Linked DNA regions of Schizosaccharomyces pombe. The protein of the gene in region 2 purifies or fractionates together with the protein of the main gene of each other region. This does not show direct contact. Each region holds a gene or a part of one and is shown on either strand. Other genes may lie near its edges.

What was found.
Region 1: the proteins of lsm4 (region 2) and pof8 purify together in Schizosaccharomyces pombe (affinity purification with western blotting, with the first as the bait; one study listed by BioGRID). This does not show direct contact.

The regions. Positions count from the first base shown.
Region 1 is NC_003424.3:3,621,246-3,625,871, reverse strand, and holds pof8 (LARP7 family RNA-binding protein Pof8/Lar7), read right to left. Parts: upstream 2,150-4,626; 5' UTR 2,004-2,149; coding exon 795-2,003; 3' UTR 501-794; downstream 1-500. Other genes in the region: protein Rqc1, read right to left, coding at 1-298; cleavage and polyadenylation specificity factor complex endoribonuclease subunit Ysh1, read left to right, coding at 2,228-2,275, 2,330-2,416, 2,466-2,563, 2,697-2,825, 2,867-3,767, 3,812-4,358, 4,402-4,626. UniProt on the Schizosaccharomyces pombe protein: RNA-binding protein required for assembly of the holoenzyme telomerase ribonucleoprotein (RNP) complex. Specifically binds telomerase RNA ter1 and promotes assembly of ter1 with catalytic subunit trt1.
Region 2 is NC_003423.3:3,084,597-3,090,504, forward strand, and holds lsm4 (U6 snRNP-associated protein Lsm4), read right to left. Parts: upstream 4,321-5,908; 5' UTR 4,298-4,320; coding exon 4,295-4,297; exon of another isoform or gene 4,257-4,294; coding exon 4,065-4,256; exon of another isoform or gene 4,000-4,064; coding exon 3,829-3,999; 3' UTR 3,428-3,828; coding exon of another isoform or gene 1,532-3,427; 3' UTR 1,457-1,531; downstream 1-1,456. Other genes in the region: mgm101 (DNA repair protein), read right to left, coding at 1-750; bpl1 (biotin-protein ligase), read left to right, coding at 1,532-3,427; chaperone protein Mzm1, read left to right, coding at 4,677-4,737, 4,797-5,038; SPOM_SPBC30D10.05C (sepiapterin reductase), read left to right, coding at 5,401-5,908.

The sequences.
Region 1 (4,626 bases), on a different chromosome or scaffold from region 2:
CTTTCTTCTTCTTCTGCTGCTTTTTCTTTTTCTTTTTATTTTTTGCTTTCTTATTTGTAGAGACAATTGGAGACTCGCCTTCTACTAATGGTTCATCCTGCTCTTCCTCAGAAACACTTTTTTCTGCCTCTGAGTTAATAGCATTATTTTCTTTTTCGAGAATTTCGAACACGTTTACTACTTTTTTCCCGGAAGTTGAAGAAAACTCGTCATCCTCATCAGATTCACTGTCTAAAGCTTCTTCCAATAGCTCGGTTTGTCTTTGACGCTGAAGTTTCCGTAAAGCTCGTGAAGACATGAGAATGGTTTGTGGTAGACTAGAATGGCAGATGTAAGAATTTAACTCAGACCTATGAAAACACACCTCAATTTCAAGAACTTTTCGGTATGCTAAATTAATATATAACATACAGAAAATATTTCATTTTAAGACTGTTAGCAGTGAAGAATATTACGTTTCGTAGTTAAAAGGCGTTAAGGAAAATACAAGCCGGGAGCAACAATGATGTACAGAATATGTAATTAAAATCTAAGTAATAGAATTTTGCAATTGTGGGGTGGTAAACCGTTTTTACATATTTGTGGTTCATGGTTTATTGGAATTTTTGCTGATCGCAATAGGTTATCAGCCAAATGAAAATTAGAGGGGTTATTAATACAAAAAACTGTTAATGCAAATTTAGTATTAAAGTGAGAATAACGACCGTGTTACCTTTTTGTATGCCTATATTACCAGAATATATTATAAAGTAGTAAATAAATCAAATTAGTATTACCAGAGAAAGGAAAACATATTACTTTTTTAACATACGCCAATAATTCTTTTCTTCTTCTCCGGTAATTAGCTCAGCAATCAGGAATGGACGGCTAGATCCCTTTTTCCTATGTGCCCGAATATCATCATGACTGTTTTGTTTCCTTTCTTGTGTACGAAACGCGTTGATACACGTCTCAGCATGAAGCGGTGTTTTCCAACGTATTATCGCCTCTGTTTCGTCCTTCCTATAGTCTATATACATGGGCTCACATGCAATATTCTGAGTTTGCCGCGAAAAAACATAACTCAAGAGGCTGTGAATAGTAGATTTATTAGTTAAAGGATGGAGGTTCTTGATACGGGTCAAAAGATTCTTGGTAAAATCCAAATTATCTTCATCTTTATCAGTTTGTGAGGTTTTGGATACAGACTTGGTCATTTGTTTTTCTACTTTAGTAAGTTTGGGATAACGATTTTCAGGAAAGGAATTGGATGAATTTGAAACGTCTGAAGATGACGCTTTTACTAAATGGAGTTGATTTTCAAAATATTTTTCTTCACGATTTGTCCATTCTTTACGAGTCAACAGTACCCATCCAGGAGGGACAGGCAACTTGCTAAGTGCTGATTGATCAACCTTTTTGTACAAAATTACAAAAGCATAACCTTCAGGAGTACCGATAGCATCAACATAGGGAAGGAACTCTTTGAGGTATTTGCGAAGTTTCCCAGCCAAAAGTAAACTTTTATTAGACAGAGTAGCCGGAACTGGTTCAACGTAAATAATTCTATCATACAGTGGTATGTCAAGAGGAAGAACAATATTCTCATTTCTAATAACCATGTGTGAGGAATTATCGAAATGAAACAGCGCATTAGTAACATAAGATAAAGCATACTTCAAGTTATTTTGCGTTGGATTCGGGCGGATTCCTTTCCAGAAATCATCTTGCTGGATTAAAAAGGCCAAGTGCACTTTTTCTTTTTGCCTTTCTCGGTGAAAATAAATTTCTAATATAGAATCAACGGCTGATAAAAAGTCAGGATTTAACGGTTCAATAAGCTGTCTATCTTGTTGATTTAACATGAGTCCTCCGCTTATGGAATGACTTGGTTCTTTGCTGGCTTCATTATGTTTGTAATGCTCATCTTTCAATTTGTTGTTATTTCCATCTGCAATAGAATTATTTTCCTTCCCTGTAAATGCTTTAATTTTGCGAACATTCAGTTGCCTTGGCACAAACATTTTACTTCGCTCCTTAAAGTACGGTTTTCTAGTATCAATTAAAGTGAAGTCATTAATAATAAATAGAATTAGGTGCTCTTAATTAAAAAAAAAAGGGTTGTAAATTTTTGTTCTGCTTTCTCCCAATTTATGTTGAATGCGTAGGTGAAGAATAACTCGCGCTTGCCCAGCACCCACGACCTTGTCTTTCCAATTGTGGTTTTTAGACAAAAGCCCTTGGAAAGATGTCCAAAAGAAAGGAATTTGATGAAGATGCACCTGTAGACCCATCCGTAAGCCTTGAATTTACGATTTTTTATAAGGGCCTACTTTCTAACCAATGTCAGGATTTACTGGAGTTTATTAACTTGGGAGCCGGAAATGAAGTTGGTCGCAGTTGCCATGTTATTCAATACAAAGGGAAAACAGTAATGGTATTTTAATTTTTATTTTGTTATGATTGTGAATGCTAATTTTTGCTAGCTCGATGCCGGTGTTCACCCTGCGTATACTGGGCTTTCAGCTCTTCCTTTTTTTGATGAGTTTGATTTGAGCACTGTAGATGTACTTTTAATTAGCCAGTAAGTCCCTTTTGTACCACTACTTGAGACGACCATAGGTTATTAGATTAGAGTACTTCTTGTACCAATTACTATTATGGTCCCTTAGGCATTGATTCATTTTTTTTTGAAAAGTATTTCTAACTTAAGCAAGCTTCCATTTGGATCATGTAGCCTCGCTTCCCTATGTTATGCAAAAGACGAACTTTAGAGGTCGTGTCTTCATGACTCATCCTACAAAGGCAGTTTGCAAGTGGCTTTTATCTGACTACGTGAAAGTGAGGTATGTATTCTTAGCTCTGAGTATTCATTAACAACTCGCAGTAATGTAGGCATGGAAGATCAGCTTTACGATGAGAAAGATTTGTTAGCCGCTTTTGATAGAATCGAGGCTGTTGACTACCATTCAACTATAGAAGTTGAGGGTATAAAGTTTACACCCTATCATGCGGGCCATGTTTTGGGTGCCTGTATGTATTTTGTGGAAATGGCTGGAGTCAATATTTTATTTACAGGCGACTACTCACGAGAAGAAGATCGCCATTTGCATGTCGCTGAGGTTCCTCCTAAAAGACCAGATGTGCTGATCACAGAATCCACGTATGGTACAGCATCTCACCAACCAAGACTGGAGAAGGAGGCTAGACTGTTAAATATTATTCATTCCACTATTCGCAATGGAGGGAGAGTTTTGATGCCTGTCTTTGCTCTTGGAAGAGCTCAGGAGTTATTACTCATTCTCGATGAATATTGGAATAATCATCTCGATCTTCGCTCAGTCCCTATCTATTATGCATCATCGCTAGCGAGAAAGTGTATGGCCATTTTTCAAACTTATGTTAACATGATGAATGATAATATTCGAAAAATTTTTGCCGAACGAAATCCGTTCATCTTTCGTTTTGTCAAAAGTCTAAGAAATTTAGAAAAATTCGATGATATTGGCCCTTCTGTAATATTGGCAAGTCCTGGTATGCTACAAAATGGTGTTTCAAGAACCCTCTTAGAAAGATGGGCTCCTGACCCTCGAAATACGTTACTTCTTACTGGTTATTCTGTTGAAGGGACAATGGCAAAGCAAATTACAAATGAGCCTATTGAAATTGTGTCACTTTCAGGCCAAAAGATTCCTAGAAGAATGGCAGTGGAGGAACTTTCTTTTGCGGCTCATGTTGATTATCTTCAAAACAGTGAATTCATTGACCTGGTAAATGCCGATCACATTGTATGTTTAGTTACTAATGTAACGTTAAAATTAACTAATTATAGATTTTGGTGCATGGTGAGCAAACAAATATGGGTCGATTAAAAAGTGCTCTAGCCAGCAAATTTCACAATAGAAAAGTCGATGTCAAAGTATATACCCCTCGAAATTGCGTACCGTTATATCTTCCTTTCAAAGGGGAACGGTTAGTGAGAGCTTTGGGAAAGGTCGCTGTTCATAAACCAAAAGAAGGCGACATTATGAGTGGAATTTTAATTCAAAAGGATGCCAATTATAAATTGATGTCAGCTGAAGATCTTCGAGATTTCAGTGACCTTACTACCACCGTTTTAACCCAAAAACAAGTCATTCCATTTTTTTCGAGTATGGAGCTTGCAAATTTCCATTTAAAACAAATGTTTGGATATGTCAAACAGTCAAAAACAAAGGCAGGACAACCTCAATATACAGTAATGGACGCCATTACTTTGACTTTAATCCAAGAACATAAGCTTGCTCTTGAATGGGTTGGCAACATTATGAATGATACAATAGCTGATTCAGTAATTACTATTCTACTAGGCATTGAAAGCAGTCCTGCTTCTGTCAAGTGTAAGTCTGCGTTTAATGTGGAACAATTTCTAACCATTAATAGTGACGAGCCATAAATGTAACCATTTGCATTCGCATTTAGATAAGCCTCCAAAAGTATCAAAGGAGGAAGATCGTATTAAAAAGCTGATGATGTTTTTGGACAACCAATTTGGCGAAAGTATGACTAAAACGGAAAAGGGGGTTGAAATCAAATTTGAAAAATATGAAGCGTCTATTGATTTTTCGACTATGAAAGTTGAATGTTCAAATGAAGCGTTACGATCTA
Region 2 (5,908 bases):
TTTTGTAAGAACGTTTTCAACAAAAACTTCCACACAGTTTTCTCTCTTAAATACTCGAATATATCTTGGATCCCATAATTCACTTGCTACACCCAAGTCCTTGCAACACCTCATCAATGCGTTAGACTTGCATCCCTCAGATGCAGTAGCAATTCCTTCCGGATCGAAATAAGTTTGCTCACCACGTGCAACAGATACAAGTCGCCCATGACAAACGAGCGCATACTCCCTTGAAACAGATTTGCTAGTAACGTTGGTATTTCCACGAGGAGCTAAACCCCAACCACCTGGACCAAATGCTTTATTTAATATACGACGATATTTAATTTCGGGTAAGTATAGAATACCGTCCGGTTTTATCTCTATATCGTCGACCTCGAGCGGTGCTGTTAATAGATCACATATTTCTTTGCTAAACGGTTGAGAAGATAACCCGAAAAAGGATTTTTCCCAATTATGGCCTGCTTCTGGAATTTCAAGCCTTGATTCGTCAAGAAACCCTTCAGAAAGCTCTTTTTCCTCTAAATTTTCTTTTGGCTCGTAAATATTTTTGTCTTTTTGATATTGAATTGAACTGTTTTGGTAAAAACGTTGAGTAATTTTAGGCGACAACAAACCGTTCTTAGGAATTACAGAAAAACTTGAGTTTCTACTATATACCCAAATATTTATGGGCTCACCATTTTTATATAGATATCTTGACAACTTGCCAAAATACTGCAAAGCTGGTTTTCCAAGCATTGTTTGCATTAGTAAAAATACGTATGATATGAGAAAAGTATCTGATTTAGGATACCACCATTTTACAACCTTGTTAAATCCTTTTGCGAATAATCTTGACAGTCGTATATTTATGTATTTATTAAGTGTAGCAATAATTACGCTATGTTGTGAATCGTTAATTGTCCTTATTTATATGCTCTCCAGCTTCAAGATTATTCTCCAAACCTTTACAGAATAAAGCGGTAGGAGGTCCCGCAATTAAAAAAAAACATTTCCATAACTTAACTATACGTTCTTCGTTTTTTTTTACGTATTTGAGTATAACTATAGCATTTTACAATATTTTTGATATTCTTTATTTCCATAGTCATATGCGGTAAATTAAGCTATATACAATATAGCTTTTAAAAGGAAAAACAATGTAGTCATCGATCATTATGATAGTTTATGAACGCGTAGTTGACACGCGATTCTCTTTAAAAATAAAAAACACATTTAACTTACCAGTATATGTATATTGCCTTCGAATGAAGCGCGCTTTAATGTGTATTTTTCCACTGCGGTAAATATTGTTGACAGTTGTGTTGGGTTTAAGGTGTTTAAGAAGCGAGCAAACATGATTGGAAAATTATCATCGCATTTATTTAGCTATTTGCCAACTTGTATATTTGAACCAAACTACCTGACTGCTTACTACTTACTTGAGATTTTTACTTATACTACTCTACAGATTGGTTTACAATTTTTTTAAGTACCTCTTTGGATTAGAACAAACTATTTTTTAGCATTACAAAGGCAAACTGAAACAATGAATGTTTTAATATACAATGGCAATGGGGCCTCCAAAATATGCCTACTGAGAACATTTCAATCCCTTTTACCATTTGTCGTTCCGCTATATGCAATGAGATTTGTCGACGCCTCTACTTTAGAAAAAGAACCTTGGCCTGCTAGCACAGCTTTGTTAGTTATGCCCGGCGGAAGAGATATGGGTTACTGTTCTTCTTTTAATGAAACAATTTACCGGAAAATTACTGATTTTGTCAAGCGAGGGGGAGCTTATCTGGGTTTATGTGCAGGAGGATATTTTGGTTCTGCGGTGGTTGATTTTCGAATGCCAGACTCTGATTTGAACGTTGTAGGGAAAAGGAAACTTCAATTTTTTCCAGGAACTTGTGCTGGTCCTACCTTTCCTGGATTTACCTATGATAGCGAGGATGGGGCGCGACGGGCATCTATAATTGTTGATGGCATGCAATCATCCCCCGTTCATACCCACATATATTTTAATGGAGGTGGGTCTTTTTTGGAGACAGAAAACTATTCTAATGTTAAGGTGGTTGCTCGCTATCAAGAGACAGATTTTGAGAAATCAGCAGCTATAATTTATGTTAAAGTAGGAAAGGGAAACGTTGTACTTACAGGTATTCATCCTGAGTTTTCAGCAGAGGGAAGCCCCATTTTAGATAAAAGAGATGAGAAAACACGATTAGAATTGTTATCCTATATTCTCAAACTCCTTGGGTTGAAGGTTCCTAAGGATACATCTAAATGTGGTCAGCCTACATTAACTGATCAGTACTTGTTCCCGAATAATGTGGAGACTAAAAGATTTATTGAAAAAGCTCTTACAAATAAGGTAAAAAATCAAGATGAGGACACTCTGTATACCTTCCAGTTTTCCGACATAAGTTCTGAAATCCCGGAGCATCAACTTGCTAATTTGGATATTTCCGCCGATTTGTCAGATTCTGATAATGAAATTGTAAAAATATGGTATGGTGACGAAGAAAAAATATGCAAAAAAGCGAAGCCTAGTTTTGATTTAGAGCTTTATGCAAAGTTAATTAACGGATGTCGTTTCGGTTTACCAATTATAGTTGCACCAGTAATCCGGTCAACTCAAACTCTACTAGACAAAAACTATAGATTTTTGGATTCAACGAATACTGGTTTTACCGTGTTGGGTAATTACCAGACTGCTGGTCGAGGCCGAGGTCAAAACATGTGGGTCTCTCCCTATGGAACGCTCGCGTTTTCGTTCATCATCAACGTGGATGCTAAAAATTTCTCTACTACACCTATAGCGCTTTTTCAGTATTTGATGGCCTTAGCAGTTGTCCGTGGTATTCGTGAGTATGCTCCAGGCTATGAAAATATTCCTGCATTTATCAAGTGGCCTAACGATGTTTATGTGCGTGTTGATAAAGGTGGAATAAATTTTCAAGGTAAGCAGTATATGAAGCTTTCTGGAATCATAGTTACTTCTAATTACCGAAAAAATGTCTTACATTTGGTTGTTGGCTGTGGAATAAATGTCAGTAACTTGGGTCCTACTGTTTCTTTGAATACTCTGGTAGATGAATGGAACAAAAACTCTGATAATCCGCGGCTAGAGAAGTTTTCCTTTGAAAAGCTGCTTGCCAGTGTACTCAATCAGTTTGATCGTTATCATAGGTTACTTTTGGAAGAGGGTTTTTCTCTTATTTTACCAGAATATTACCAATATTGGTTACATAGCAACCAAACGGTCAATTTAGCAAGCGGCGGTAAAGCAATAATTCAAGGGATTACCTCTGATTTCGGATTTCTGTTAGCTCAACTGTTAAACGAAAACAATGAGCCTACAACGAAAGTAGTTCACTTGCAACCTGACGGCAACAGCTTTGATCTGATGAGAAATTTAATAACAAGAAAAACTTAGTTATGACTATTGACTGTGTAATTTTCTGGCGCTTTACGTTAAATTGGAATCAGTAGTGTTTTGATCATAGATACTCGTACCGGAATCCTAGGCAAATTAAAAAGGTGAATAATTAGATATGCATATTGCAGCTTCCATTAGGGCTGTCCCTTTCTATACTAGCTAAACCTTCTTAAAATGAGCAAGCATGATTTTAAATCCAACAAACCGACTTTATACAATGTTAAGACAAGCTACTTTGAAAATATCATAAACCAAAATTAGAATTGTGGATTAGTGTAAAACCCTATACAAGGCTTAGAGCTCTAGAGAAGAGGGGGAAATAGAAGGGAAATGAATGGACGGGCATCATACACTCATTAAAGAGAGACCATAAAAACTTTTTAAAATTACAGGGATATTTACATGTGTCCACCTCTACCACGGCCACGACGGTTTGGTGCTGTGTGACCATAGTTTCCACGACCGCGTTGACCACGTCCGCGAAATCGCGATCCGCGATTTTCTCTTTGCTGCGCTTGTTGTTTAGCTACTTGACTAAGCACCTCATCTTGAATACGCAGGTATTTGATCTGTTGTGTTAGTAACAGCTGGCATTAATATGTTCGACCGCAAAGAAAAGGATGGTACAACATACATTATTTCCACGAATATAGCACTCAGGAAGACGGAAAAATTTATCACCATCAGGCATAGTACGAATGACTTCGCGCAGTGTGAGGTTCATGTAATTATCACAATTCTCTAAATGACCATTAAACGTTTCACCGTTTTTTAACTCAACAAGTATGGGACGACCTTGAGTTGCATTCAATAATGTTAATGGAAGCTATAGGATGTTAGCGTGAATTAATAAACAGAATTTACCATTTTTTGCAGTATATGGGTAACTTAGGTCTTTCCAAGTAGTAGGTTATCATTCTGTTTTAGAGGATTAGAAGAAGTAACATTGTAACCTGTAATGTTATAAGTCGCAGAGTTCACGATTGTGAGAGTCACTAAAAACCATGTGCATTGCTGACATTTCTTTATAAATAACGTGTAATCGCCATAACAATAATTTTGGTTGAAGTATCTTCTTTTTTTCTCTTGTCAGAGTTTTTCCTGAGTTGACTTTAAACAAGAGAATAAGAATTATATCATTAACATATCGATCCCTTTTCTAAAGTCCCTCAGTACCAATTCTAGTTCTTTTGACCGTTTTTTCTTGTTTTTAAAAATATTTTTTAAAGAATTTAGAACGTTAGTAATGTCAGCTGCTAAACAATGCTTTCGTAATCTTTGGCGAGCATCCAATTCGGTTTTTGAAGGTAAGTGGGTTAACCTCTATCAACAAGTATGTTTTTTTTTATTCACAGATGATACTTAGGGGACCCAATGATTCTCGCAGCTGCAAGGGATAAAATCAGAACTGGTTTTCACAATCATCGGTGCTGTTCTCCAGAAGAAGCAAAAAAAGAAATCCAAAATGGTAATGCTGTTGCGGAAATCCTTAGAAGGAACGTCGTTCAAGCTGAAAAGCAATCCAACGATACCTATTCTTTGAAAATTCGAAAGACAACTGAAATTAATACAAACAGACAATTTACTGAAAAAAAGTTTCCTCGGTAATTTTTTGAAATTACTGCATCAAGCTCTATTAATACAATAAAGTATGTTGTTTTCATACTCATATTTATTTTTTCTGTTTTAGTAATGTTTGACCATTAACAAAAATAAAGGGAATGGCAAGCTTGTTTTGTATTTGCACTTCATTACTTTCGTTTTTTAATACCATATAACAATTCCTTTCGTGAATAAATAAGCAAAATTAAGATTATATCGGTTACTTTATTGTGATTATACGGAACCTCGTTATCTTGGCATCATGATATAAATCATAGCATAGCTAACATATTTCCTCAGTTCCACAATCTGGCTTTACACTAAAGTAATTCACACCCTACATTTCTATAAATTTCTATAAAAGCATTATGGCCGAAACCGCTGAAAAAGTTATTTTGTTGACTGGATCCTCTAAGGGTATTGGATTGGCTACTGCAGAAGCTCTACAGAAGAAGGCCAAGGTTATTGCTGTTAGTAGGTCCTTGACCCCAGAACTAGAAACTTTGCTTATTCAAAATCCTGACTCATTTGTTCACGTGAAGGGTGACGTTACGGAGGTTGGAAAAGCTAGTATCGAAACTGCTATTAAAAAGTTTGGAAAATTGGACTCGGTTATTCTAAATGCAGGTGTCCTTGAACCTATAGCCAAAATCGCTGATGCAGATATCAATGAATGGCGTAAGTTGTTTGATATCAACTTTTTCAGTGTGGTTGAAACAGTGAAGTATGCAATCCCGCATTTGCGTAAAACCAAGGGTACTATTGTGATTGTATCCTCTGGCGCTGCTGTTCGTGTTTTTCCCGCGTGGGCTGCATATTGTTGCTCAAAGGCCGCCATCAACATGCTAGTCATGAACCTTGGCAGCGAGGAGCCTG